2 linked regions of the Ovis aries genome follow. The protein of the gene in region 2 purifies or fractionates together with the protein of the main gene of each other region. This does not show direct contact. Links are inferred from orthologs where the notes say so. Each region holds a gene or a part of one and is shown on either strand. Other genes may lie near its edges.

What was found.
Region 1: the proteins of BRD8 (region 2) and H2AZ1 purify together in Homo sapiens (affinity purification with mass spectrometry; 4 studies listed by BioGRID and IntAct, with this or other methods). This does not show direct contact. The link is inferred for Ovis aries from reciprocal best matches to the Homo sapiens genes BRD8 and H2AZ1.

Annotation. Positions count from the first base shown.
Region 1 is NC_056059.1:25,068,129-25,071,684, reverse strand, and holds H2AZ1 (histone H2A.Z), read right to left. Parts: upstream 2,744-3,556; 5' UTR 2,640-2,743; coding exon 2,637-2,639; intron 2,194-2,636; coding exon 2,116-2,193; intron 1,835-2,115; coding exon 1,721-1,834; intron 1,370-1,720; coding exon 1,240-1,369; intron 992-1,239; coding exon 930-991; 3' UTR 559-929; downstream 1-558. UniProt on the Homo sapiens protein: Variant histone H2A which replaces conventional H2A in a subset of nucleosomes. Nucleosomes wrap and compact DNA into chromatin, limiting DNA accessibility to the cellular machineries which require DNA as a template.
Region 2 is NC_056058.1:47,270,453-47,274,200, forward strand, and holds the start of BRD8 (bromodomain-containing protein 8), read right to left. Parts: upstream 2,856-3,748; 5' UTR 2,847-2,855; coding exon 2,828-2,846; intron 1,655-2,827; coding exon 1,558-1,654; intron 1-1,557. UniProt on the Homo sapiens protein: May act as a coactivator during transcriptional activation by hormone-activated nuclear receptors (NR). Isoform 2 stimulates transcriptional activation by AR/DHTR, ESR1/NR3A1, RXRA/NR2B1 and THRB/ERBA2.

The DNA.
Region 1 (3,556 bases), on a different chromosome or scaffold from region 2:
TTCACTAAAGATATTGTCTGCCATAGCAGCAAACATGGTAACTCAGGACTTTAAAAAATCTTGATTCTCTGTTAAATGTGAATAGTATGTTCCCCAAAGATGTTACCATATACTGAACAATTTAATGCAAGTAAACTTCAAAAGAGCGTGTAGCACACTGCAAACATTATCAGTCTAAACTGAAAAGTTTAGACTGTGTAGGCAGCTGCATATAGGACCTTCCTACCTGGCCTCTGCTCCCCAACCCCACCCAAGTCCCCACAGTGCGCTGGTGTAGTGCTTGCTGCTATCACAAACAGCAAACAAAGCTGATGAACTCAGATGGTTAAACTTAGCCTAAAAAACATCAACTTGTGCTGAAGTTTTAAAATCTTTTAATAGTTCATTACAATGTATTTAAAAAAAAAAAACTTGGGCCTTTTAACTTTGTTGATCTACAGACAGAATTAACAGTAATTTCAAGGGAAGAAATGTGCTTAAGTTATTGCTAGCTAAGATACCTATTCAAAACAAAGCTGTTCCTACTATAATCAAGCAAATTTTATACACAACTAGTTTGGGATATGACCTTTATTGAGCTTATCCACCAGAGTGGAAATAATGTCTGTACAAAACCAAATGTTTGTTACTATAACTTCTGCATCACAATTAAAATCCAAACAGTTTTTTAAAAACAGTCAACTCAATCAAAACCCACTACTTCAGAATCAATAGCTTCTTTGAAGCCACAGTAACACTTAAATATGGTTAAGACTCAAATGCAGAAATTTGGTTGGTTGGAAAGCTAATTAAACTTCCAACTTTCTCAAATAGAATTACAAAAAGGCAAAATTGTGTTTTTCACAGAGATACAGTCCACTGGAATCACCAACACTGGACAGCTGTTAGAGTATTTAGAGTCCTGAGATAATAAGGAATCCAGGCATCCTTTAGACAGTCTTCTGTTGTCCTTTCTTTCCAATCAGAGATTTGTGGATGTGTGGAATGACACCTAGAAAAGGGATAAAATAACATACTACTTTAAAACCAAGAGTTTAATGTTCAACTTGGAAGATGTCTTTCAATGTAAGCGCAGAGTAAAAATTCAGAAGTACGTAAGAGAAATCAAATTTCATGATGCAACCATACTACAGATCAATGAAAATATACTGTGTCCTCTTTTAGACTGAAAATTACTAGAGGGAAATTTAAAAGCAAATTCTTTTCTCTAGAGAAATTTATAAGTTAATATTTACATACCACCACCAGCAATTGTAGCCTTGATGAGAGAGTCCAATTCTTCATCTCCACGAATAGCAAGTTGCAAATGACGAGGGGTAATACGCTTTACCTTCAAGTCTTTCGATGCATTTCCTGCCAATTCAAGTACCTAGAAGGCAAAATGCGATCAATCTCCTTCCAACTTTCATTAACGTCAAGATCCAGACAAGAATCAAACCTTCATGATGAAGGTATATCTACCAACTGTCATCTCCCCCACTACCTGAATGGCAAGATAAGCAAAAGCCATAAAGAGGGCACGCAATTTTATTTCCTAAGGCCGCAAAGTCAAGCTCAGGAGGATCCCCATCATGATCACCAGCCCCCTCTAGCGTTGTCGGAAGCTTCTCGCTGCGTACAGAGCCTGGGAGTTTTCTTGCATCACTTTCCTCCTTCCCTCTCGCCGCCTCCCCCCACCCCCTCCCAACCTTTTCCAGATTATAGGCGTACACCCATTTACCTCTGCGGTGAGGTACTCCAGGATGGCTGCGCTGTACACAGCGGCAGTCGCGCCCACACGTCCATGGCTAGTCGTCCTAGATTTGAGGTGTCGATGAATACGGCCCACTGGGAACTTCGTTTTTAGCATACACAAACATAAATGCACAAAGATAGACGAGCCAAAGATAATTAATTATACGCGCGCCAAAGGCAGGGTCATGGACGCCGGTGCAGCAACGCGCCCCACCACAGACACACGTGATCGCCCCCCCCCGATATTTATTGCATCGGTAAACCAAGTCGCGACACTATCACCCACGCAAAGACGAAACGCTCATCTAGAGCGATGATAAACAAGAGAGGAAAAGGAAAGAAAAACGCCACGATTCCCAGAATGCACGAACAACCACTGACCTGCAAACCGGCTCTCTGCGAGCGGGAAACCGCCTTTGTCTTGGCCTTTCCGGAGTCCTTCCCAGCCTTACCGCCAGCCTGCGGCGCGCACACGCCCGCGAGCGAAGGAGGAACGCAGAATATAGGATTACCAGAGCAGCGCGCCCTTCCCCCACCGCGCCGCGGCTCGGGCGCGAGCGCGGCCCCGTGCCCAGCCGGGGTCTCCGGCCCGCGGCGCGCCGCAAGGGCGACCCCGCCCGCCCGTCCCCCGCCGCGCGCTCGGCGCGGCCGCGCGCCTCGGTCCGCCTGCTCGCCGCCCGCCGGCCCCCAGCGGCGCTGCGCGCGCCACCCAACCGTCACCGCCCGCCGCGAGATCCGAGGCTGCTCCGCTCGCCGCCGACAAAACACCTCCCCTTGCTCTTCCAAATCCTGTCTCCGCGCGTTCCCAACCGTCGCCGCTTCACCCCCATCTCCGTGTGTAACGGGTTTTTCTCCCGCCGGCAAAAACCCGCGGAGTCTTCGAGCGTCTCCACCAAGTTTACCATTTCGAATTCTGCTGAAGCTCAAACAAGCAAAGCAGAGAAAGGACTAGTCAGACACCCAGCGAGAACCAGCCGCCTACTCCTTCGTCGCACCGCGATTCAAACTGCGCTGTCTCCCGCCTTCCCCGCTCCCTTTATACTGCAGAATGTTCCCTCATCCGGGAACTCGGATTGCTCATCCCACCAATGGCTGCCCCCCGCCCTCGGGACGCGTCCTTGAAGCTTCAGCCAATGAGAAAGCGAAGAAAAGGGCGGAGGGGCGGGCGCTTCACAGCTCGAATCCCTATTGGAGCATGCGGAAGGAGGGGGGGAGGGCGGAGGGATTGGAACTGGGGAGAAGAAGGGCACAGCGGCGGGAGGGAAGAAACAGAGCGAGCTATGCTGCGGGAGCTAGGCGAGCCCCCCCCAACCCCGCCCCGGCTGTGGTCACGTGTCCGAGAGGCGGAGTTGAGAGGCTCAGGGGAGGGGCACGCAGTATCGCGCACCCTACCATCACCCGTTCGCCTTCGTCTCCTAGCCTGATTCCAGAGACCACGTGAAGTCTCCGCGGGGTCTAGCGCGCCCCACTTCCTGCCCTCCCCTTCCAAATGAGCGCCTCGAAGGCAGAGACCCAGCAGTCCACAGCCTTCTCCCGAGGCCCGGGGTACTCTTTTCCCTGGTACCCTCAGCATCGCCCAGCTTTTTCAGTCTGACAGGTGGCGCGAACGCGTCCGGTGAGAGGAGCCCCAATTCCTTCCCTGACCACAGTCTTGATAGTGATTTCAGTCTTCTAACCCCCCTGGGCGAGTCTCGAGCCACCGACTGATCATGATCCACTGCTCCCACGTCATTTTCAGTTCTAACTCCCTCGTCTTTCCTCACCATTTTTGAATGCCTTAACCACCCCCTCCACCCCAGTGGGATACTTTCACGGGAAAAAC
Region 2 (3,748 bases):
TGTTTTGTCAGTGTTTACCAGCTCAAGAATAGCTGCTACCTAGAGTATTCTGGTTTTCTCTTTGAAAAGTTATTTGAAAAATACATAGAATTGTAGAAGTGTTACATGTGATCAGTAATGGTGCTTTCATAAACTCATTTGAATGGTTAAAGTAGTAGAGATAAACCCTACAAATGCAAATTTGTTTATTAAGTAATTTTAACACTTAAGACAACTAAAAGGTAACTTTAGATACGGAGAGAAAAAAAAAAGTCGGGGGCGGGGAGACCAAATGTTAAAAATGAGACTATGTCCTGGTAGAAAAAAAGATTGGAAAACACACACAGTCCTACTTTCTGGTACTTAAAAGAAACACAAATTAAAACCACAATACAATACCATTTCACACTCAGCAGTATAGCTATAATCAAAAAGACTAAATGTTTGCCAAGCATGCAGAAAAACTGGGTCCCTCATTTATTGCTGGTGGGAATGTAAAACGGTGAGGCCACTTTTTAGTTTGAAAGCAGTTCCTCAAAAAGATAAATATGAGTTATAATATGATCCATTGAGAGTCCCTTGGACTGAAAGGAAATCAAACCAGTCCACCCTAAAGGAAATCAGTCCTGAATATTCACTGGAAGGACTGATGTTGAAACTGAAACTCCAATATTTTGGCCACCTGATTTGAAGAGCTGACTCATTTGAAAAGACCTGATGCTGGGAAAGATTGAAGGCGGGAGAAGGGGACAACAGAGGATGAGATGGTTGGATGGTATCACCAACTCAATGGACATGAGTCTGAGTAAACTCCAGGAATTGGTAATGGACAGGGAAGCCTGGCGTGCTGCAGTCCATGGGGTAGCAGAGTTGGACACGACTGAGTGACTGAACTCAACTATGATCCAGCAATTCCACTCTTTCAAGAGAAATGAAAACATGCCTGCACAAAAGCTTGTACACAAATGTTCACAGCGGCATTAATATTCAGCAAAGTAAAAACCACTCAAATGTTCATCAACAAATGAACAAAATGTGGTAAACCCATACAAGGAACTACAATTTCATCAAAACAAAGAATAAAGTACTGATGCATACTCCAGCATGAACCCTGAAAGCATTATGCTAAGCCCCAGAGTACCACAAAGTATATGATTCCATCTATATGAAATGATCAGAATAAGCTATAGAGAGACAGAAAGTAGATGAGTGTTTGGTGAGGGAGGCGGAAATATTAGAGAGGCGAAGAGATTTGCAGAGTGATTCCTTAAGGGTAAGAGGTTTCTTTCAAGTGTATTTAAAATGTAAAATTAGACTCTAGCATTGGTCCTATGTAAATTATGTGAATTTAATAAATTAAATATTAATAAGTTTTAATAATTTTAATAAATTAAGTTAAATCCTGTGAATATACTGGGAATTCTGTGAATATAATTTTGTGATATGTAATTGCATCTCAAGAAGGCTGTTAACTACTGCTTAAACGTTAACTACTGGAATCCACCGGTACTTACATGAAGGGGAAAAAAAAAAAACGGTTTCTAATACCCAAGGAAGCAGATATCCTAAATACCTTACCAATTTTGATCTCCACTCCTCATGACAGAAGACGCTAAACACAGCTTCTCTCGGATGGACCATGGCTCTGTAGGGCCAGTACTCAGCAGCTTATGTTCTGAAAGATTTAGAGACAACCACTGAGGCACTAAGTCCCAAAGGGAGGATTAAAAGTCTAATACAAAAATGTCCTAACCTGTAAGGACAAAGTGAGCCACTATCACCAAATCTTGATTTTCACCTCTCTAGTAAACACCACCACTAGGATGGTGCCTATTCATTGCTTGAGAACTGCACTTGATTATCTGGCAAAACATTTTTCTGTAAATGCCATGGTTACTCTACCATATTTAAAAAAAAAAAAGTCAAGTTAATTTAGGGCAGTTCTTCCAAAAAACCCAGTTTTAAGAATGCTTTATTCCAGGAACTTCCCTGGTGGTCCAGTGGTTAAGTCTGTGCCTTTTCCCTAGAGGGGACGTGGGTCCCATGATCCTGCCAACCACCAACCTCCCAGCTCTGCCCTGGCCAAAAAAAAAAGAATGCTTTATTCCAAAGTGGACCCCAGGCCTTATTTCCCAGGATTCCGAGCGGCCAACCCCCGCTACTGCCCCGCCTCCTTCTTAGCATAAACTTGTTTACTTCTCTCAGTTACACCCATTCCCCTCAAGCTGTTAGGCCTACAAGACCTTCTCAGTCCCTGAAACAGAGGGAAATGGCTGAGATACAGGAAATGTATTTTTTCCCTAGTGGCAGAAAAAGCTCACGATTAACATGTCCCATCTCTCTGTGAGTACAGGCCTCACAAATGTTCGTCAGAAAATGACTCTTTGGGACCCCGGCCACTCCATATGGCTCACAGCATCTCTGTCCGCACGCCGGAGCCTCTAAGGCACCTTTTTTCCCTCTCACCCCGCAGAGCTGACAAACATACAAGAATTTTCTTAGGCTGCTTTTCTCAAAGCTCCGTGGCCTTGCACACCACAACTAGAGAGGAGCACTCCTCGCGGCAACTAGAGAACAGTCCACGGAAAGCGACGAAGACCCAGCGCAGCCAATAAATAAAAATTCTAAAAGCAAAAAAACTCCGCGGCCTTACTTAAGTGTAAGACTTCACGCTTCTGGGCCCTCAACCCCCAACCGCTGGCCTTAACAGCGCCGCTCGAGCCCAAGTCTCTGATGGCTCTGGGCTCTCAGGTGAATCACTGCTTCTACTCCCTAAGAGTGTGACAGATCTGTTGCCTGGCCTTGGTTCTACAAACACCTTCCACGCAAGAGCAAGGCAGATACTTACTGCCCGTTCCCGTCGCCATCTTGGCCCCGACGTCTCCAACCCCCGAAGGAAGATTTCTGGCCGAATTGAAGCCCAAGGAATTCTGGGAGATAGCGTTCCAGCGTTTATTCGCGGTGCGTCCTGGGAAATGTAGTCCCCTCTCCCCACCCTAGGATGAACCAGCGCCCCAAATCAGGTATTCTTGTGAGTTCCTGAGAAGGAATGTGCGAAAGAACAGAGAATGGTGGCTGAAGCCTTAGGATTTCCTTCAGGCTTCTTAGAAAAGAAATGCCTAGGGTTCAAGAAAAACTGATAAACAGAAGTTCCAGTTGACCCAGCTCCAAAATCCAACAGTTGGTAACCCGTCCCACATTTGAGCAGAGAGGTCAAGCCTAAGAAAACCGTTTCCGGGTTTCGCCCGCCCCCTTGCACTGATTGGTAGGTGCAAGGTTCGCTATCTGATTGGCCGAACGAACTCAGCGCGCAATTTAAAACATTGTATCAGAAACAAAGGTGCGCTTCGTGGGTGGGGTTGTCCTCTCAAGCTGCCGAAAGCCCAGTTTCGGCTGTGGGGTGTGAGTGAGCCGGTCCCGTAGAAGTGTGGCGTCTTTAGGTAAGTGTGCGGCTGAACTTGAGTCAAGTTGGGGCACCTTTGCTCTGGCGGATTAGGCATTCAGAAAGCGGAACTGCCGCCATTTCTGTTTTTCTTAATAATTCTGTCCTCACCGTGGGCCTAGAAGCGAGGTATAGAGAATGAGCCTAGGGCTTCTGACACGGCTGAGGGAGGCTCCCTACTTGGAACTTGGCCTTATGTTTTCGGAGTTAGATATCTGTTCATTCCTGTTCGCGGTCCGAAATGCTGCCTCAGATTGGATTAAATGATTAACTCTTTCTCTCTTTCCCGTTTGCTGGTAGTCGAAAGGAGAAGGGAGTAGGAATTCA